2 linked regions of the Oreochromis niloticus genome follow. The protein of the gene in region 2 purifies or fractionates together with the protein of the main gene of each other region. This does not show direct contact. Links are inferred from orthologs where the notes say so. Each region holds a gene or a part of one and is shown on either strand. Other genes may lie near its edges. The genes, in order: ndufs3 and ndufaf1.

The links.
Region 1: the proteins of ndufaf1 (region 2) and ndufs3 purify together in Homo sapiens (affinity purification with mass spectrometry; 4 studies listed by BioGRID and IntAct, counting the BioPlex papers as one, with this or other methods). This does not show direct contact. The link is inferred for Oreochromis niloticus from reciprocal best matches to the Homo sapiens genes NDUFAF1 and NDUFS3.

The regions. Positions count from the first base shown.
Region 1 is NC_031965.2:1,582,907-1,594,541, forward strand, and holds the start of ndufs3 (NADH dehydrogenase [ubiquinone] iron-sulfur protein 3, mitochondrial), read left to right. Parts: upstream 1-5,745; 5' UTR 5,746-5,849; coding exon 5,850-5,904; intron 5,905-6,125; coding exon 6,126-6,191; intron 6,192-11,202; coding exon 11,203-11,300; intron 11,301-11,526; coding exon 11,527-11,635. Other genes in the region: ptpmt1 (phosphatidylglycerophosphatase and protein-tyrosine phosphatase 1), read left to right, coding at 923-1,003, 1,203-1,394, 4,375-4,503.
Region 2 is NC_031983.2:22,114,922-22,126,292, reverse strand, and holds ndufaf1 (complex I intermediate-associated protein 30, mitochondrial), read right to left. Parts: upstream 5,688-11,371; 5' UTR 5,543-5,687; intron 5,439-5,542; 5' UTR 5,353-5,438; intron 4,963-5,352; 5' UTR 4,750-4,962; intron 4,595-4,749; 5' UTR 4,568-4,594; coding exon 4,055-4,567; intron 3,951-4,054; coding exon 3,765-3,950; intron 3,661-3,764; coding exon 3,586-3,660; intron 3,477-3,585; coding exon 3,336-3,476; 3' UTR 2,834-3,335; downstream 1-2,833. Other genes in the region: nusap1 (nucleolar and spindle-associated protein 1), read left to right, coding at 31-99, 184-375, 514-697, 802-885, 1,238-1,350, 1,435-1,485, 1,579-1,745, 2,087-2,250 and 3 more; RNA polymerase-associated protein RTF1 homolog, read left to right, coding at 5,928-6,011. UniProt on the Homo sapiens protein: As part of the MCIA complex, involved in the assembly of the mitochondrial complex I.

The sequences.
Region 1 (11,635 bases), on a different chromosome or scaffold from region 2:
TTTTGTATTTTCCTACTCAGTTGTATATAGTATTTGTATTTCTATTTTATTCTATTGTATATATTATTCTATTCTATTTTATTCTATTGTACATAGTATTTTATTTTATTTTATTTTATTGCATTCCAGTGTTTTCTAATTTCTGCTACATAACTTTGCACTTTTGCTGTAACAAAACAAATTTCCCACCTGTGGGACTAATAAAGGCCATCTTATCTTATCTTATCTTATCTTTTGCTACCATAACGGTACGAGTTGTATTTAACTTACCTCTACATGCTTGCGCAGGTTTGATGTGGAATTTTTAAAAGCTGCTAACTCGGTCTCTCTGGGCAAACACAGCTTACACTGCATAATAAAGCTGTTGCCTTTCTTGCACTTGAAGCCGAAATGGTCCCTTAAATACGGCCAGGGGTTCACATCCGTTTCTTCGAGTTCAGGGTCAGCAGAATTCGACGGGGCTTCTTTTTTCACTGGATCCATAACACCGATGTCAGACTCCATCTTTAACGTGACCTTAGCGCCAATTTGTTCTACTACCCATCATTCCCTGCAGTATTTCTGAAGCGCAATGTTTTTTTTTTATTTTTAATTTACTCAGTAACGGGTGTGATTGAAAACGTAGCGAACTACAATACTTTTTAAAAAATATACTTAAGTAAAAGTAAAATTACAGACTTGAAAAATGACTTTAAAAAGCACAAATACACAAAAAAACTACTCAATTACAGTAACGCAAGTAAATGTAATTTGTTACTTTCCACCTCTGCTTGTATGAAGAGCAGAGAAAGAGACTGGAAATATATTTTGTCAAGACCTCATAAAAAAATGGAATAAAGGAGAGAAAGCGTACTTAGAGCGCTGCTCTCGTGGCAGTTGCAGTTTTCAACTCAGAGCTGATGACCTGTTTTTGCTGTTGCAGCTGGTGGAAACAGAAAATGTTCGAGGGGTGATCACCATGAACGAAGAGTATGAGACCAAATATTTCTGCAACTCAGCTCAGGTGAGTTCCCTTCGTTTGAGTTCCCATTATTAAGTTGAGGTGCAGTTGAATCGTCCTGCTCATATTTGAAATGACCCTGTGCTGTCATGTATATGCAAGATAAGTTAAATACTGATGTGTGATAGAAGTTCAAACCCTAACAGTGCCAAAGAGCTGCCCCTCATACACTGTGTCATTTATTGTTGCGGCGCTGATGCAGGAGTGGCAGGCTGCTGGTGTGGAGCAGCTCAGGCTGAGCACTGTGGACCTGACTGGTGTCCCCAGCATGGAGAACCTCCACAGAGGCGTGGAGTTTGCACTGCAGCATAAAGAGCAGGGAACCAGTGTGTACGTGCACTGCAAGGCTGGACGTTCCCGGAGCGCCACATTAGCTGCCGCCTACCTCATACGGGTCAGTATGAAACTGTGAGGAGGTCGCGCTCAAACTGCCACCTGCTGTTTGCAATAGAGATGGCACGATACCACTTTTTTATGTCCGATACCGATGTCATAAATCTGAATATCTGCCGATACCGATATGAATCCGATATAGTGTGTTTTTTAATCAATAAAACTTTTTTTAATATCTTGCTGCATTTTGTATAAGTTCATACTCAAGTTTAAATAAACAACAACACTAAAGCTATTCTGTTATACCTGTATGTAAAAAATACACTGCAGCCAAAATATTTCATAGTTCAGCAACACTGATCAATCTAATAAACTTAAACCTGCTCCATCCTCCCTATTCTGGTATTTTAAAGAGTACTTAGCAGAAATATTAAGCAACCTAACTAATAGGGTTGCAAACTCCCAGCAAAAAAAAAAAAATAGGGAACCACCCCCCACCCTCCACCTCATGATGCTTAATCGACGTAATCAACTTTAATTTGATGCAGGGTGAAAAAAAATGCACAGAAATAAATTATTTTTCAAGAATAATTAAATAGATTCAACATCTTTCTTCAACAGAATTGCAGAATTCACAGATGGTACCTTCCCAAAGGAAAAAGTAGTATAGCTTACTAGGGTATATTAGACTTAACAGTTACTATATACAGTAATGGACTTCTATACATTTTACATCAGATTAAAACTTTGGGTGTAAGATTCAGATAATTATTTATTAAAAGCTCGACATTTTAAATGAGAATAAGAAAGAAAAGTATGTCTTTGTGCCCCCTTTTCCCTGTTCATGCCCTATCGGCCCCCCTGGCTAAACTTTGCTAGATCCGCCCCTGCACAGTTACCAGCCGTCAGCTACGTAGAAAAGGATCCTGGTGTAGAAAGTAATATTAAATACATTCTAACAACAGCTTATCAAGCTTAAACTTGCTGCTGTTGTTCCGCCGCTGGTTTCCTCTTTCTGGTGCAAAGTGGGCCAAAAACAAAGAAGAGAGACGGACTCGCGACAGAAAAGCCGATCAGCTGATCATTGATCAGTTTCATGATTGAAGTAGCGGCAGGAGAGGGAGAGAGAGAGAGAGAGGCAGTCGCTCCATATATCAGTTGTTAAGCTTAACGCGGGAACGCTTTACTAACATTCAGAGATGAACTTACACACTTGCTTTACTTCTCTCTGGGATAACTTCCTCGGAGATGAAATGCTGGTTTGGTAGCGAGGCTACAAATACACACAGCCGCTCTATCACATGACGCACACTGCTGTAACGTGCTACGGTTATGAGCCGAGTTACACCGTGTAGCAAGTTTTGTGAGGTGCTTTTTTGATATTTAATGGATCGGATTACATTTTTTATTTCTCTCCGATATCCGATCCAGTAATTTAGGTCAGTATCGGACCGATACCGATACGTAATATCGGATCGGTCCATCTTTAGTTTGAACTGCAGACAGCAGTTTGCACAAAAACAGAAAGTGGAGAGAAGAACATCCCACTTTTCATGGTAACGCAAGATAAAGCATAAAGGGCAGATAAAAAATAAAGACATAATTAATAAATAGAATAATAAATTCACATTTGTTATGTTGGATAATTTTGAACAAGTAAGAATAAGGCGGCAACAAATCAGGTTTTTACAGGAAAAATAATTATACTGTCATAAAATCTGAGCAGCACATAAGCACTTTTAAGTACTGTGTAATTTCCTGGTATTTTAGCAGCAAAACAAACAACATTTCCCTGTATTTACGTCATAAATACGTGTTACTTTCTGTGGAGCAGGCAATATTACAGAGTGGACTAAACATGCCTAACCTGCATGTATTTTAGAGGAAAGGAGACACAATTAGTGTATTGAGTATTGCGTAACTTATTTTAAGTCAGGGCCTCAAATTCGCGGCCCGGGGGCCACTTGAAGAAATCTCATGCAGTGTGTCCTTGAAGTTCTTTAAAAAGCTAAAAATGATTGAACATGAAGGCAGCATGAGCAGAGAGCACAAACATGCTGAGGGATGGGCTGTTAGCTCGGTGACAGAGTCACACTTATGTCTGCAGTTTATTTTGTTAAACACAAACACAATGACGGCAGCAGTGCTGCCACGCGTGTGCACAGACCGAGAGGACCAGTGTGTTTGTTTGGTGGTTCGATAAAAATCTGCGTTCATGTTTGCAGTTTTGTCTCGTTATACAATATTTGAAATTAAAAAAACAAACAAAACATTTTCAGAAATATTTGTGGTGTTTTCTTGTTTGTTTAGTTTTTTATTACTACTTGAACACAAAGTGGTCCTCCAATGAGATGACATCATTTCAGTTTCAGAGCCTGTTTTAAGTAGTGTGTAATTAGCTGGTAATTTTGCAGAAAAACAATATTTTTGATGCAGTTTTCGTGTTGATGACTGTAAATGTGGAGTGACTTAACCATCCCTTTTTACATCCTTATTTTGTTACACTGTGTACATGATGGATTTTCAGTTATTCAGTTGTTCTTTTTAACTTACAGTGTACTTAAATTACTTACACTGTAAGCTGTGTCTCCTTTCCTCTAAAATACCCGAGTCAATCCATAACACGACTCTGCGTCTCCTCCTGTGTGTTTCTCCTTCCCTGTAAAATACCCAGAAACTGGCCGAGGTTAATCCGCTTCATAATATGGCCCGCTCCCTGAACAGTACAGCATACTGCTAAATTACAATGTAATATATTTCTTTGTTTCCTCAAAAAAACAGACTTTTTACCCTCTTATTCCAGCGTACTTACCTTTAAAGTAGTGGTATGTAAATATAAACACATGGTCATTTAAAAAAAAAAACACATGCCACATTTCAGCTCAGTTTTTGACACGTTTACCTCCACATGCACTGAACCACAGAGTGTTTAAGTCAATTTTCCAGAGTGGTGATTGTATGAAACATGCTCATGGCTGATGAGTCGCTCGGGTACCAAGCGACAGGTTTGCTGTGTTGACCGTTTGCTTTCCTGGTGACAGTTACACTGCTGGACTCCAGAAGAGGCCTGTCAGAAGCTGGCATCTGTTCGACCGCACATCCTAGTACGCTCCGCTCAGCTGGAGATGCTGAGGAAGTACTACCAGCAGATGTGTGCACAGTCTAGCTGAGAGAGCGGGGCAGTGTGTTCCCGCTGGAGGTGGGAGACGGCGACTCAGAGCCTCCGTCAGAACAACCGTAACAGGAAATGCAACTGTTGCCTTTTCAGCAAGTCCTCTTTGGCATGTGTACAGCTACAGAACAGAAGATGTTATTTATCTGTTTTTTTTACTCTTTAATATAATTTTGTTGAAAGAAATTTTCCTTTTTATAATTTGATTTCCAGCCACGTTATTCTGTTTTAACTAACAAACTAAGACAAATCACTGCAGTGCGATCAACCTTTTTTCTTAAAAAAGAAAACACTCCCGTCAGAGCCGGCTGATGTCAGCTGGAGTTTAACCAACAAGATGAGAACACTGTAGTGAATAATTCAGTAATGAAGGTGTTTCTGTGTAGACTGGAAAATATTTGCTTTATATTTTTCTGCAGTGCCTCATAATGTAGAAAAATGACCATAAATAAATATTTATGACATAAAGAGTAATGGTGCTTCTTTGTTTTCAGTACTTTGGTCTTATTGGCAAGCACATATTTAAATAAAGTTGGGATGTTCCAATGTGACAGTCATCAAGAAGGTTTAATATGAGGACGGAGTCCCCGAAGCAAACAGACATGAAACATGTTCAAGTGATAATACACTGTTAGATTCTATTTCATGCAAACAAATAGAAAAATTAAATTGAAGTAAAACAAAATAAAACCTAAATCTAACTGTAGCGTGGACAAACATTTGGTCAACTTTTACTCGTAAAGTGTCCAAACGTGTCATCCTAGTAGGGTAGCTGTTTATTGGAAGACCATTTAACTTTAGCATTTAATATTAGTTTCAACTGAAACGCCGTTGGCTAACAGCAGTGACCATTTTATGCCGGACGATCTTCCTGACACAACCTTCCTCTTTAATCCAGACTTGAGAGGCCACTAGGAGTAGTTTGACTTATTGACCGCCACTGCTGTGTCCTATCATGACGCATTGTTATATAAATCGTGGTATTTTAAGCATTTGCATAGTTTGGAGCTAAAAATTACACTCGAGTGCCAAACTCAATTAATTAAATACATCTGTAAATAACTAAATGTAGCACTGATTAATTAAAATTTGAAATAATTTATTCAGTAATTACAATTTTAAATATTTAATTATATACCATTTTATTTTAAATATTTAATTAATATTTTTTTAATTAATTCATTTGGCGCTCTGTTAAAATGTGACGTTTGAATATTTCCGTTTCAGTGTACTTTCCAGGGCACCGCGCAGTCATTGAGTGACATTTGTCTTCCCGTCCACGAGGGGGCGACTGGCCGCTAATAGTCAGCTCTCGAACCGAAGAGAAAACTTGAGAGAGCCAAGATGGCGGCGTCGTTGGTACGGTTTGTCCGCGGAGGTCTCGGAAGGAGCTTTAATAGTACGTTAACTATAAATTCATATACAGGCTGTAAATTGCAGTGATTCGTTTTAGCCTGCGTCCGTTTGCATGCTACCAGTACAGTGTCGTCTTCAGCTGTCAAATGCTCCGTGTTTGACCTTCGAGCTAGCTAATGCTACCTTTAGCCAGCTCTTGTGTAGCAGTGCGGATTCACTCGTCAGTACCTCTGTGATTGATCCTTTCTGTCTGTCCCTCCTCAGTTGCGAGGACGTCGTGTCTCCTGCAGCAGCAGACCAGACTGCAGGGCTCCAGCACCGAGACCAGACGTGAGTACACACTAACTCATCCTGCAGGGTAGTGTCGCTGCACCACCGAGCTGTTTGACTTTAGGACTAATAGCTGTCAAATGTTTGGGGACCCCAGACTTAGATAGGCATTAGGATTTGTTTTTACTCAACTAGTTAACAGGACGTTACTGTGGGAGTATGGAGCAGCAAATCATAGTTTGTACCTACGGACATGGTTGCAGTGACGGGTTGTTTTTGTCCCCGGGACTAAAATTACACAGCAACGTTTTACAGCTTAAAAAAATAAGATGCTTTAAAAATATCCAGAGGATCCAAATATAGGTAACAGCACATGGAGTGGGGTCCATAACTAAAGCTGCTGTGTGATGTTATTTTGCTGATAACATTTGTCTGCTGACAGACACACAAAGCTCGACCTGTCAGATAAAGCACTAAATACATCAAATGAAAATTTAGTGTTTTCCCAGCAGTAAAAGACTTTCATGACTTTTGTGCCCGTGTCAGATGAATGAGAAAAACCTCTCTGGTACACAAAGTTGGCAACAAAGAGGCGACCCTGTGTGTATGTAGCACAGCTGCTGGCTTAGTGTGCCGCTTCTTGAAGTCTGAGCTTTGGGCTGAAACATCTGTGTTGAATCCTCCTCAGGAAGGGGAGTCCCAGTAATGACTCATGATGTTGCCTTTAGCTTTACAATCTGCTAATGAGCGGTATGACTGGCTTTGACATTTTATATTATTTGAAATGTTAAAGCTATACGTGGACTTTTAGTTACATTTGTTCATAAAGCCAGTAATAATAGTAATACATTTATAACTGTGAATATCCGGTAGCTACTATGTGAATATGACAGGAGTGGGAAACACTACCTCACCCCTGCTGCATCAACATGAAAATGACAAAATAGTCTATTTCCATAAAATATTTGTCACACAGTCATCACAATATTGAGTAAAACTTAGTTTTGGCTTCTCCTGAATATTTAAAGCCTATGGAGACATCATTGCAGTATAGAGTGTACAGTGTTTCTTCACAGCACACAGTTTACTTATACAATACAGGCCCAGTGACAACATTAACTGCCAACTTGTCAAAGCTTTTAAACAGGATAGTTGGGATAGTACCTTGTCTGAAACTAGACACCATGGTGACTAATGAAAAGTAGCATGAATCCATGAATCCAAGAGTCCAGACCTCAGAGGAAACTTGCAGGAACAAGTGCTGACCTACTGACATCAATTTTTTCAGTAACCTTGGGAGGCATCTACAGGTTGAGAAAGGCACACGCTCCTGACATCACAAGAAGCTCTGTGGGTCATTGTCAGGTCGAACTGGGATAACAGGGTTTATGAAGATCGGCTGAACCGTTGGAGCTAGCTCGTGTGCTGCAGTCAGTAAGCAAAGAGACATTCTGAAATGAATGGACACGGTTCAGATGTTCAACTTTTCACTGAAAGGTTTTCGTTGATGAAATCTTTATTTTATATTCAAAATATTTTATTTGCTTGATTTTATTTAGTAAAGTTAGGAGCACCGTCATTGACCCTGAAGTTGCTGTTATATTAGCACTGATTCCCAAACTGTCCCTCACAGTGACTTTATTATTTCAACACTGGTATCGGATCAGCGATTGGTGTTGGCAGAAATTTAAACCCAGATATTGTAATTAGGGATGCTGACCTAATTTACTGGATCGGATATCGGAGAGAAGTAAAAAATGTAATCCGATCCATTAAATAACACAAAAGCAGCTCACAAAACTTGCAACATGGTGTAACTCGGCTCATAACCGTAGCACGTTGCAGCAGTATGCGTCACCTGATAGAGCGGCTGTGTGTATTTGTAGCCTCGCTACCAAACCAGCATTTCATCTCCGAGGAAGTTATCCCAGAGAGAAGTAAAGCAAGTGTGTAAGTTCATCTCTGAATGTTTGTAAAGCGTTCCCACGTTAACCTTAACAACCGATATATGGAGCGACTGCCTCTCTCTCTCCTGTTGCTACTTCAATCGTGAAACTGCTTAATGATCAGCTGATCGGCTTTTCTGTCGTGAGTCCGTCTCTCTTCTTTGTTTTTGGCCCCTTTGCACCAGAAAGAGGAAACCAGCGGCTGAACAACAGCAGCACGTTTAAGCTTGATAAGCTGTTGTTAGAATGTATTTAATATTACTTTCTACACCAGGATCCTTTTCTACGCAGCTGACGGCTGGTAACTGTGCAGGGGCGGATCTAGCAAAGTGTAGCCAGGGGGGCCGATAGGGCATGAACAGGGAAAAGGGGGCACAAAGACATACTTTTCTTTCTTATTCTCATTTAAAATGTCGAGCTTTTAATAAATAATTATCTGAATCTTACACCCAAAGTTTTAATCTGATGTAAAATGTATAGAAGTTGTTAAGGTTCAGAAATATAGGGAAGGAAACACAGGAGGAATGCAAGTAACCACACTGGTCCAAAGAGTAAAGACGATGATTTTAATGAAAAAACACGCGTGGGAGAATGAGCGGACTCTATGAGCAGACAGCCCCACAATCTCATCCTCCAAACATCAAAATACAGTTTTATATGCATCAGAGTATATTTAGTGACGCCCCCTCATTGCGTCATCACATACATCAGCTTCAAAACCACAAATGTTCCATTTGACAACTTAAGACACAATTAAAAGTACACTGGCTTCCATCTTCTCCCCGGTGGTTTCCCGTAAGCCAGCTCAGCTCTCGCATCGTGCATCTACTGCTTCATCAGTCAACTTTCACCTACACCCTAACAGCGTGTGTGTGTATGTGTGTGTATGTCTGTCTGTGCGTGCACAGATGCTCTCTGCACCTTAGTTGACCTCAACTTAGGCAACCAGGCTAAGGCCATCCTGTGTTGTGATGATCTTGACTTATATGTAAAATGTATAAAACAACTGTTTCAATCTAACACAACTACTTACAACTTAATCAGAGATATTAATCAAAGATAAATGCATAATAAAACACCCTGCTCTTAACTTGCACTCAGACTCTGCTTTCGGTTTCACTTCCTGCAAAAGCATGTAACTTCAAAAACATATAACTTCCTGTCTTCTTTTAGCACCGAGTTACTCTTTCACCCTGCAGTCTGCATAAACATTTAAGATTATAAATTCAAAAGCATTTCGGGTTATAGATTCAACTCAACAGTTTGAAGTGGTTATAACTGGACCTGTAATAAAGGCTGATATGATACCAATATGTTTGACCATTTGAATGCAATATCAATACCTCTTGTATCAATACTTCTTGTATACATATACTTGCTATATGATTATGATGCAACAGTAATGTCAGTAATAACAGTAATAACAAAATAATAAAAATAGAATTAATAAAAATAAAATAATACATGGAAATAATAAAAATGACAAAAAATAATACTTCCTTCCCAACAAAGTCCATTACTGTATATAGTAACTGTTAAGTCTAATATACCCTAGTAAGCTATAGTACTTTTTCCTTTGGGAAGGTACCATCTGTGCAGTCTGCAATTCTGTTGAAGAAAGATGTTGAATCTATTTAATTATTCTTGAAAAATAATTTATTTCTGTACATTTTTTTTTTTCACCCTGCATCAAATTAAAGTTGATTACATCGATTAAGCATCATGAGGTGGAGGGTGGGGGGTGGTTCCCTATTTTCTTTTGCTGGGAGTTTGCAACCCTATTAGTTAGGTTGCTTAATATTTCTGCTAAGTACTCTTTAAAATACCAGAATAGGGAGGATGGAGCAGGTTTAAGTTTATTAGATTGATCAGTGTTGCTGAACTATGAAATATTTTGGGTGCAGTGTATTTTTTACACACAGGTATAACAGAATAGCTTTAGTGTTGTTGTTTATTTAAACTTGAGTATGAACTTATACAAAATGCAGCAAGATATTTAAAAAACAGTTTTATTGATTAAAAAATTGTAATCAGATTGGAAAATCTGACTCAGTGTTTCCTTAACCCTTTAAAACCGGTCGGAGCGGGCACGCTCCATTTTGCGTAACTATTTTTAAATCCCAGTAGCTCTGCAGCCACGTAAGCTAGAGCAATAATTTTTTTGCATATGAAACCGTAGGAGTTGTACTTACATCTTATTCCATTAGCTTGTCCTAGGTCACGGTTTCCTTCCACATATAGCTTTGCAAAAACTGCATAAAAAGCACTTCCAGCAACAAAAACATAATATTCCAGAAACACGCTTTGCCGATCCGATCAGCTGTTCATAACACTTCCTACGTTGGAATAGACGTTAGCGTGAACTTTCCCATGTCCGCCATTACCTGCCCGAAACCGGAAGTGACATCATTTTCGCGGAAATGTAGTTTTTTTTACTATCAGAGCCTCAAAGCCTATACTGGTGTTTTTAAAAGTTATCTTTGACTTTATGACTTTCTGTGTCATTTCTGTGATGCTTAGAACTCATATTGCACTGCTGGAAATAGTTTATTTTGATGCATATGCTGCTTTTTTGCAAATTTGCATTATAATATTTATTTTCGTTTTTCCTGTAGTATATAAAAATTGGTGTATTTCAAAAATAAAACTATGAAGACACTTCAAATAAATTTCCTGTGGTGGGAAACTAGTTTGTGCAACTTTTTTGTATTTACAGTTTTGAGGGATAAGCCTCTTAAATTTCTCTAACTAGAAATATATGTTAAAAAAACAAAAACGATTTTCAATTTTTTTGTAGTTTATTGCACATTTTTGCAATTTATGTAATTACTATGCACTTAATGCATACATATTATTAAAATTTGGGCTATAATGGTTGTATTGATGTATATCAACTTGAAATGCTCCCAAAATTGGCACTACAGCATGTAAAAATATAATATAAGCTCTGGCGGACTTGGTTCTATGGTAGGTCTTAAAGGGTTAATGCTCAGGAGAGTCCTCAGAACATCAGCGAGACAATTGGTTTGGAAAACAAATGCATATTTGCGTCTGTGACTCTGGTCAAATGTTACACAGCCTGAAGCGTCTGTCGTGGTGAATTTTGTCTCCTCTGCTCTTTGTAGCCACTGTCAGGCCCAAGGATGCTGTTGCTCACAACCAGCTGGCAGCGTTTGGGGAGTATGTGGCAGAGATGATGCCCAAATATATTCAGCAGGTCCAGGTCAGTTCATATTCACATCACAGTGTGAGCACGTACACTCTTCTGTTGCAAATCCTGCTGCTGACCGAGACAGCACATTGATGGCTTTTCACAGTTATTGTGAAATCCAAACATAGACTGACTATGTTTGGATTTACTCTGAGTAAGGAAGAAGATGGATGGATGGATGTTTAGATTCAGAAACCTGCAGCAGAGCCTAAAAAACTGTTCATGTGTGTACGTGTAGGTGACCTGCTACAACGAGCTGGAGGTGATGATCCATCCTGATGGAGTCATCCCTGTGCTGACCTTCCTGAGGGACCACACCAATGCTCAGTTCAGGAACATGACTGACC
Region 2 (11,371 bases):
TTTTTTCCCGGTTTTTTCCGGCAACATTAGGCCGACAAACTTCTGAAGGCAATAAAGCAGCATTATCAAGAAGAAAAGAACAAAGAGCCGAAGGAGCAGGTAACTTACTGCTGTTCTGTAATGTATCGGCTTTGTTGTCAGCATCTCGTGTGGACAGCGCTAATGCGTTTATGACTGTTCCAGGGGCAAGGTATTAATGATGAAGCTCAGGCGAAACCTGAGGTTGTCCTGGATTCATCTTGCAAGGAGGAAGTTTCCAGCACTACTGGGTTTGTGAACACACGTCGAGGTAAAGGACAGGGTACCAAGAGAAAAATCTCTGTTACTGCCACACTGACTAAAAGCGATGCCAAGATGCCTCCAGTTGCTGCAAAGGTATTATACATTACACTGTATTCAACATAAATACATCTGAAGCACTCTATATCCCTGTGTATAGGGTTGCTTTGCAGCTGTTTAAGTTCTTTGCATTCTGGAGGTCTAAAACCTTTTATGATTATTTTTCTTTTTAAGGGTGACACTGAAGTTGATGCATCTACTGCACCCTGCAATGCCAGGGGTGGTAAGAAGAGAAAGGTGTCGTCTACAATCGATAAAGAAAAAAATGAGCCTCCTAAAAAGATCCAGACTCCTAACCGTGAGGAGCAGCAGCTACAGCCTGCCATTAAGGATGAAGCACCAGTGACTGCTGAAACAGGTTAGTAATAGTTGATAAAAGCTGATACACACTTAAGTTCTCTTCATTGGATTTTAAGATCATTGACTTTCGCACAAATTTTAAATTTAAATGTCTGTGTCCAGAAAAGGCACCAAAAGGGGCAAAAGCTGGTAGAATTCCTCGTCTCCAGCAGAAGAGTAAGCCTTTGTTGAAGCCTGTTACCCCCAGTAAGTTTTTTTTTTTTTTCTTTCCTTTTTTTGTCTCCCTTTCAACAAAGTATTTTATTTAAGTTAACCATGATATTGTTCTTTTTGTGCCTGATTCAGCAAAAGTTTTATAGGAGTCTCTGCTATGTACAGCAGAGCCTGTCTTACTTTATTTCAGAATTTCAGAGAAATCTGTACATTTTCCTGTTGATGATGCACATCTATTTTGCTTTAGTAAATAAAACCTTAATCGATTTTAAAAAACTACAAAACAATACTTACAGTACTGGTGCCACCCCCACACACACACACACACACACACACACACTTCAAAATCTTTGAATAATGTTATAAATTTTATTTGTTTATCTAGATTTCAAAAAACTTCATGAGGCTCATTTCAACAAGATGGAGTCCATTGATTCCTATGTTCAGCGGAAGACGAAACAGATGGAGACGTACAGAAATTCAGTCAAGGAACTAAAGGTGCCAAATCATCTTGGCTTATTTTTATTCAGGAAAAATTAAGTCTAACTTTTACTTGAACTTTATTTTATTTTTTACCTGTAGAGTCTTTCAGACAAAACTGAGCTGCTGCAAGTTGATGGCAAAGCTCAAGTGGTAAGCATCACCATCTACTCGTCACCCACATTTAATGTATATATCAATTACTTCTAAAGCACACTAATGGCACATGTGTATATAATCCCACAGAGGGCAAATCCAACTCGTGCTTCAATGTTCAGCCCTGCCCCAGTGAACAAGACACCAGGTGGAGGAAACCGCAGGCACACTTTGCTTTCAGCCACCAAAAAACCTCTTGCAAAGGAGGTCGTCTCCTTCAGGCCTTCTGTTCTTTCCACTCGCAGGATCAATGTTCGGTGAGTCACCGTTTTGTCCTCTGGCCTTTTGATACAACAAATCTAATGAATTTCTAGGGGATCTAATATGCCTTTTAAATGAACAAAAGTACTGAGCCACACAGTCTTTTAATCTTCTCATTAGTTATCAATCACATTCACACAGGTGTACAAAACTTGTGACTTAGCCATGCAGTCTCTGTTTACAAACACTGGTGAAATAATGGGTCATTCTAAAGGATTAACCTGAATTCAAGAGTGGAACTGCAAAAATAAACTTTAAGTGGTATTGCAAAGTGAAAACATTGAAACTTAAGTTTTGTATTCAATGTAATGCTTTAATGAGAACTGTCTACATACAGGTTCTCAGAAGCTACTCATGACAATGAATATAAAAGGTCACTGGTGAAGACACCTGCACGCATGTCACCTTGCGTGGCTTCCAGCACCCCTCAGAAACAGACCGCCAACGGATTAAAGCCCAGCAGTGTCAAAACTGCATCTTTCTCGGCCACAAAAACTCCAGGTACTTTGACCTTTCAACCCTTTGAATGATATCTGAAGTATATGTCTCTAAACATCGTAGATGATGATATTTCCCCCCCCCCCCCCCCCCCCCCCACTCTGCAAGGACCATTTGTTTTCACTGGCAACACAAGCACTTCAACAACGCCTGGCACAAACAAGAAACCCAGCTTTGATCTGAAGGCGAGTCTGTCACGTCCCCTCACCTACAAGCCTCATAAAGGTATAAAAATGTTCTCATTTTCCCTGTTCGTGTGAAACACTATTTGAATGGATGAGATGTAGCATTGAGTCTTTTATTTTATACATAGGTAAACTGAAGCCATTTGGAGATGTCAAAGAAAACATGGCCATGAACCAGTCTATCTCAAATCCACATCAGGAAGCTTACAAACAGCACAAAGTCCAGTCAAGGTAGGTCCTTAATTAACACTGAAAATTCTCCCATTGCAGTTTGCTCATGCAACATCTCTGAATGTCTTTAATCCTATTTTAGGGAGGGCCGCAGAGCAAAGCAAGTACAAGATCGGAAGCAGAAGAAAGAAAGTATCCTTGGGGCAAGAAGAGGCCTTGTCATGGCATAAAAATATTGCGCCTGCTCGTGGCCGTTTGTACAGCCTGTTGAAGTGTAAATATTTCATTGTCTGCAGCTTCAGTTTCAGCAGCATCTTGTAGCCCCTTGTAGAAAAGTAGTAGAAGCTTAAATATACTTTCTAGCGTCTTTGAGGTTCAAATTGTGCATTTCTTTTAAACAGTTACCTCCAACTCTAATCCCTTTTTTAAAATAATATTTTGATGTGATTGAAGTCTTTCCTGTTTTGCTGCATTTTGAAGCTTGTAATTAAAAATTTCATTTGCTTTATTACTTTTGCTAGAATTGAGGCATTCATATAAAAGAGTTATTAACCCAAGAGCTTGTCTCTTTTTTTATTTGTTCTCCTGTGGTATTTAATACATCATTTAATAATAAACAATCTGCATGAGTCATTAAATATTAATAGTTTGAATTCTGTAATGACATTACAGAAATGGTGTCAATATAAGTTCAAATTTGTCCCAACAGTCTGATTGCAGCATTAACAGTTCTTAGACTTCTGGGTTCCTCTTGTATGCTTCGTAGGCAAACTCCTCTGTGTGTGCATAATCTTTACAGACACCAATGAAATCAATTTCAAGCTGGAATGGGCCATCAGCTTTGTCTCCCAAAGTAAACCCAATGGTGTTAACCTGTAAATACAAATACAAAAAAACAATGAAGGCCACAAGCTAAAAAGGGATTCAGGTAATGATACATCAGTTTTATCATCACTTTGTGAGGAATGTTTCTTTGCACTACCTTGTCCAGCCAGACAGGATGCTGGTCATCTTGTATCCTCCCTCGATGTGTAAGGAAGAACTTGGAGAAAGGAATCTGCAGAAGAACATTTTCAGGCTGATCAACATATTTGATACTATCATGCCTCTCAGACAGACCTATAAAGATTTGTTACATAATTTTTTTTTAATAAACTTCACCTTAACATCCTGCCAGTAGGGCCCTCCTCTGGTATATAGGAAATAACAGTATATGTCATCCTTCTGGTGAGAGAAGTATGTTTCTGCTGAGATGTTAATCATCCATGGGCGACCATCACCACGTACACGTAAATGCAGAGTGTTAAAACTGCTCCAATCATGGTGTTTTTTTCTATCAAAGGAAGCCTAGGAGAGACAAAAGACTTGGGAATTAGCATTTACATAAACTGTAATGTGGGAGGACCCTTCTGCATCCTACAAAAACAAGGAATTCAGCAATGAACACTAACCAGAGGCTGTTTTGAGCGCATAGTGCAGTATCCACTGTAGCGTGTTTCTCCATCTCGTGGGGGAGTAGAGCTCAGTGTCCCATACAGAAAACAGGTATTATTGTTCCTTCCAAGCTTCAGGTAAGCTTCACTATGGCCTCCAATCTCACGATCAGAGGACACCGTCCACTCCCCCAGGCTCTCTGGACCTCTGAACTCCCATACAGCTCTGTTCTGCTCCAGCATGTGCTCAACAATCGGTTTACCCTCAGGGCCAACCCAGCGGTCAGTAAACTCCTTTTTCAGGAGTGTGAAATGCTTCTTTATTCCCTCCAAACCTTTTGAGAAGTTAAAGTTAATCTTTTTCCAGGGAAACTTGGCCTTTCTGGGCTGGCCGGGCCGTTTGTATTCACCCTGGATCACAGCCCTTTTTGGCACAGTGAGAGGAATGATGGAGGGGAGAAGCCTCTGGTGGTGGAGGATGGCGCTCAGCAGCCTCCCAGAAGGGAGGTGTGTGATCCTCAGCAGGGACATTTCAACGCTGATCTGCAGGTTTCACTGCTGACATACATAACACAGAGTAACACAGTCAAAATGAATATAACCAGGAATATGTTTCTCAAAAAGAAAATAATGGCCTGACACACTTTAAACAATATGTATATAGTTTTGTATAATTATTCAATAGAGGACATTTAAACTGTCCCACTTCATACAACTATAGTTATGAAGAAAAATGAAAAGCTTCTTGTTTCAGTTATGTATTCCTGGGTTTTCTTCACGTCCATTTCCAAACTGAGCAGAAGTTTTTCGCAGTTTACTGGTCTGGTGCATTCAGATGTGTGTTAACACAATGTTGATGAAAAATGACTTTAGCAAAGATGGTAAAGAAGTTTCTGTCCAATCTATCTTGGAAGGATTTTACAATGCTAAAAAAAAAAAAAAAAAAGACAGAAATTCAAACCAAGACAATTACTAGATTAAGGAAGGGCATCTCTATAACCACACTCCCACTCTCATTTCTTAATTCAATCACTTGACTCCAAGTAGTTTCTGGAGAGGTCATGATTTCTTTTCCCTGTCTAAACAGTTGGTGAATAAACACTTTTACCTCCAAGTCCTTAGAATTAAAACGGATTGTGTGCTATTGGTTTTGAATGACTGTCAGATACATTTTCTTCGAATGATATTTGTCTAAACACACAAATTAATCAATAAAAGCTTAACCATACTGGAATTACTGAAACCGGAAAAAATTACATGAAGTAATTTTAAATTACAGTTAATAACTTAACACAGTGTAAACTGTTTACACTTACGTTGACTACGATGGAGCAGCAAATGTCTGGTAGATACATCAGGGCTTGTTCGGGTTAGGTTTTATCATACACTATGATACATATCTCTAATATGGGGAAGAAAAAAAATACAGACTGCTGGTGTATGCTAGCCCAAAGTTGTCCCAGTATAAACAGGTAACCCAAAACAATTGAAATTCCTTCAGCAAACCTTCGACCAGAAATGTCACTGGAGCCACAAGGTAATCACTGAACACAGCTTCCGTGCATCAAAGATTACTGTCCTGACTCCTGTACTCATATATGGTTCCCTCTCTCTGCTAACTGTATATGTTCTTATATCCACCGATTCCGTTTCTGTAGTATGTTCTTTAGTTGAATTTCCTTATTTAGTGTAGAGGGATCAAGAACAAAAAATGCTTTTATATGTCACTTAAACACTTTGCGTCAATCAAGCTGTTTATACTGGCGCGCATGCGCAGTTCCGCCTTTGTGTGATTGACTCCAGAGCTAGTCAGGTAGCAGCGACGGCTATCGTAGACAGCATTACATTAGACGACACAGTGGTAGCAAGTGGGTTAGCTCTGCAGCTAATCATGGTGAATGTAAAGAAGCGGAAAGGTCGAGTCGTTATTGACTCTGACTCGGAAGACAGCGCTAGTGACGATAACTTAGATCAGGTAGGTGTTATTTTTACCGTTTTTCCCCACCGGTGGATTCTGAAGTTGACAACAGTTTGAGGCTGAAGCTAATGTGTGCTAGCTGATTGCGCTGAGTGGGCCTATTTTATTTACAACCGTTGTTTCCTTTGTGATAAAACACTCAAATCTTAACATGGAGCTTGGTTTCTGCTAAGCGTTTACGAGTTTCCGTATGGTACTGGATAAAATGGAAAGTGTTTGAGTTTGTACAGAGCCAGCTCGTTAAGTTATGAAAGGTACCCAACGCTTGCAATCATGCAGTATTATGTAGCCATGAAAATGCCGCGCCGTGGGCCTTTGACTGGTTTCGAGCCGTAAGCTGCGTGACTGCAGTCGTGCTCTGTTGGATAATTGGTGATTTAGCGTTCAGACTAAACTGGAATGGGATTTGTTTGTTTTTTTTGACAAAGTGAAACCGTTCTGGAGTCGCGTTTGCTTTAGACAGAACATTATCTCCTGTATGACGTCATGAGCCGAAGTTCTATTTCGGTGGTGTTGTTGTCAAACTGCTCCTGGCAGAGAAACATGTCAGTCTGAAGAGCTGGCAACGCTGTTCACATCACCTTTAAACTCACGTGTAATTGACCCTTTCCCAGAGAAAACAGAAACGGTGACCACAGAAGATCAGACTGGGTCAATAAGACCAGCTTCTTCGGTTGCTCAAACGGTCAGTAGGTTTGATCGTGCGTGTTTTTTGACCGATTGTTAAGTGCGGATTAATATAGTTATCTTCTGTAGTTGCACGGTCTTTGTGGATTTAGAGAAAGCACGTGATAGGGTGCCAAGAGAGGAACTGATGTGCTTACAGGAGGGAAGTCAGGTGAGGTTGTTGCTGGTGCAGAGACAGTGGTGAGGTATGTGGTAGGAGAAAGGGGTTAAGGTGGGAGTGGGATTACATTGGAGATCTGTTCTGAGCCCCTTTTTCTTCTCAGTGTTGATAGACAGGTTGACAGGTGAGATCAGGCAGGAGTCTCAATAGACTGATGTTTGCAGATGACATAGTGATCTGTATTGAGAGCTGGGAGATGGAAGCGAGTCTGGAGAGATGAGGAATAAAAGTCAGTAGAACCAAAGCAGAATACGTTTGTGAACGAGAGTTAAATGGGTGTAACCAAAGCTGCAAGGAGTAGAGGTAGTGAAGATACATGCGTTTAAATACCTGATGTCAACCATCCAAAACAAAATGAGTGTAGAAGAGAGTGCAGGCAGGGTGGAGTTGGTAGAGATGAATGTTAGGGGGACTTTGGTGCAGAGATTTTCACTGGGAGTGATCAGAAAATGCCAAGATAAGAAAAAAAAAAGTAGTACATCAAAGGGACAATTCAGATTGAGCAGTTTGGAGACAGAGATGGTTTGAAAATATGCAGATGAGGGATAGTGGATATATTGGAGAAAAGGTGTTGAATATAGATCTGTGAGGCAGGTGACAAAGAGAAACCACAGAGGAGGTTCATGGATGTAGTAAAGGAGTAGATGCATGTATTCTAGGGATAGTGTGAGTTCAAGGCAGATGATCCACTGTGGTGAACCTTAAAGAAAGCAGGTGAAAGAAGAAGATTGGAGGAATGAGGTGTTAAATGTTACCAGAGGCATTGCTAGGATCTTGAAACTTTGGGTGGTTAAACCAATCCAGAAATCTTTTGGATTTTCAGTTGAAAACAGCAACTTTTTAAAGTTGTTAATTAGTCTTTATAGTGAAATATCAGACACTGTAAAGGTTGCAATCAGGTGTGTTAGCCTGCCTTTCTTTAAAAAAAAAAAAAAAAAAAATGCAGTCAGTATATAGTATATATATACCACAAAGTATATATCCATATTACTAGCATTGAGCATTGAGGTTCATTCTTGATTTTGCATATGCATAATAATTTAAGATCTTTTCTTGGGAATCATGAGCTTCCCAGCGTCACTCTGTAACCATAGTTACCCATTGTCATGCATGCCTGTTTACACAGTTTTGGAGAAAGACGACAACTCTGCTGCTGTTTAAGCCTGACATTAATCTGAGCAGCATGCGTCAATTCATGTCTACAGCATGGTAGTGTTGTTGGTATTTCTCAATATTACCCTGATGGTCTAAATAACTGAATTTGTTTTGTAATTGCATTAGAAAATAGATGTGTAAGACGTGTGTGAATTTGTGGCACAATGTGATGACAGCCAGAACGTGTAGGAGAAGGCAATTTAATAAGCCTGTAATTCACCAACCTTATTTTGTAGCCAAGGCGTCGTTCTTCTCATGTCCAGTCTGCGCCACTTCTTCCTTCCTGCGATGCTATTTTGAGATTGGTTCCTGGAACACCTTTTCTGAGCACTTCAGTGTGGATATTAACAGTTTCACCATGGACCCTAAGCACTCAACTCATTCACAATGACTATAATTGCTGCTGAAGAAACTTGGTCTGAGTCTCCCAAAGATTGAATTGGAGTTTTCATTTGAAGAGCCAGCAGTTTCCAAAATTGGAAACTGCTCATTGCAAAATTTAATTTAGCTAACTTTAAGTTAAGGTTTTTGACTTTTACAAGTTGAATTTATAGATCTTTTAACATAGAGATGAACCCTCAAATTAGCCCCAAAGCAAACGTTTCAAAACAGTGGTGAGGAAAGCTCCCTTGTAACAAGAAGAGACCTCAAACAAAAGCAGACTCGGAGTTCATGGATATGTGTTTGGCCAAATTGGTGAGGACAATAACTGCAGATGTACATGGATTTCTTTGGGTACAGGTAAAAAGTAGAAACTGCAAGACTGAGAGAACTTGTTAATGATATGCAGCAATGGTGAATAAATGCATGATAAGCTAAAGAGATGACCTCAGTGTTTTGGAGGACCTATAGTAGTATAACTGAGGCTATGTCCACACTAGCCCGGATAGATTTGAAAACTGCGTTTTCGTCTGAAAACGCTCCGCGTCCAAACTATCGTTTTCAGTCGTTTTCACAGAGTTGTGCGTCCACATTGAAACGGCCGAAAATACTTACGTTCCAGTACTGCGCATGCGTGAAACGCAAGACTGTTCGACCTATCATTTCTGTGGCTGTGAATCTTTGTTGACATAAACTGCAGGAGCTGTATGTGAAAAAGCAATTGTTTTTCTAAGCTGAATTGCAAATGCTCTTCAGACTGCTTGCTCTTTAGTACAAATACCGTATAATGTCTTGCTTCATCCATGTGAGAATATAGCACTTTTGTCAAGCTTTACATTCTTGCTGCTCTATATAGTCTGTAGCCTTGAATAAACCAAATGGCTGCTGTTGTAAACTTCACGAGAGAAACCATCTTTGATCAGTGTCCCGACATGATCCTCCCTGCATTATATTACCGGTAAGTCACAGGGAAAGAAATTGTATTTAATGAAAGCTCTCAAGTGTGTGTGAGAGAAAGAGAGAGAGCATAGTTTTGTTGTTCTTTTTCTGCATTTTGTAGTAATGGAGTATGTAGGTTCACTTTCTTTTTGTGTGTTATCAGGTCCTGTTCGAGCAGTTGTCTTGAATAACAACATTACATAAATGTAGTTGAGGCAAGTTAATCATCAAACTAGCATTGGAATGTGTTTTGAGAAATACAAGGCACATGTAATTTTACTTCTGGGAAACAGATTGAAGCTAAATAATAAGGAAAATAAGCTTTTGTTGGGTTTAATCATTACATTTAAAGGTTCTACTTCTGCTGATCATGTCCCACTATATGAATTACAGAGAAGTGGCTTGAGAAATTCTGTCCATTTGTACTGCAGTATGGGTAAATAATTTTTTTTTGACCCCTCTGCTAAATTTGTATGTTTGCCCACTTATAAAGAAGTTCTTTAATTTTCTTGGCTGCTCCTTGGCAACTCAAAGCTTCAGCTCCCTTCACACTTTTCAGACTGGCTAGGCCACTGCATTATCTTAATCTGCTGCTTTTTTAGACACTCCTGATGCCTTGGTAGTATGCTTTGGGCCATTCATGCTGGAAAACCCATCCACGACCTCTCTGGAGTGTTCTGGCTGAGGGAAAGGGTCTCTTATCAGAAAGTCTTCATGTACCAGAAAAATCTTCTGGTAATACTAATATTACTAATATTAGGTACCAGATATTAGGTATTATAATACTAATATTAGGTACCAGAAAATCTTCTGGTACATGACTCTTCAATTATGTTCTTTACCCTTGGCAGAAAAACAGCCACAAAGCGTAATGTTTCCACCTCCGTGCTTGACTGTGGGCAAGGTGTTTTTTGGATCATACTTGGCATTTGTCTTACTCCAAGCATGCCAGATTGAGTTGATGACAGAGAGCTTGATTTTTGGTTTCGTCTGACCACAGCACGTTCTCTGCAAATCTTCTGTGAATCATTTTAGATGTTCAGTGGCAAACATAAGACAGGCATGTATATGTGCCTTCTTGAGCAGGGGGACCTTGCGGACACTGAAAGGTTTCAGTCCATTATGTGTAATTTGTTACCAATGGTGTTCTAGTGACTGCAGTCCCATCTGTCTTCAGATCATTAACCAGCTCCTCCCATGGAGTTTTAATCTAATGCCACCACCTTTTTCATGATCATCATCCTCACCCTATGAGGCAAAATCTTGTATGGAGCTCCAGACCAAGGAATACTGATGGTCTCTTTATATTTCTTCCATTTCTAAGTAATTGCAACAACAGTTGTCACCTTCTTGCTAAGCTTCTTGATGATGGTCTTGTAGTCCATTCAAGCCTTGTGCAGGTGTACAATCTTGTGTCTGACGTCTCTTGACAGCTCTTTGGTCTCACGTATGGTGGTGGTGAGGTCAAAATGAAAGGAATTGATTTTGTGGACAGGTGTACTAATCTGTGGGAGCCTTAATTCTGGCTGGGCGAGTACTAAACGAGTACTAATTTCACTCAGTGACATTTATAACATTTATGTAATGTGTTATTTCTGGATGTTTTGATTGATATTCTGTCTCTTCATTAAAATGAAACTACATTACAGAGTATGCAGTTCTTTGTAAGTGAGCTTACAAATTCAGTAGTAGGGCTGTGCGATATGACCAAAATCTCATATCCCGATATAAGAATTCTATCGTCCCGATAACGATATAAATCACAAAAATGTAACATTTTCTGTAAATTCTGTGAATCTCGGGCAGCTCGACTTGCGGGAAGTGTTTCTAGCTGCGCGTTATGTAGCTGGAGACGAGTATTTTAACCGATGCATGAAACTATACATTTTTAGACATAAGTTGTAACGGCCGCGTTTTCTTTGTATTTATTACATGGCGTGCTGCGGGGAAAAGCCTGTTCTAACGTTTGAGTCTAAGGTTTATTTTTTAATACCTGGCGGCTCTTTTTTACTTCTCATCCGTAAATACTCTGCAT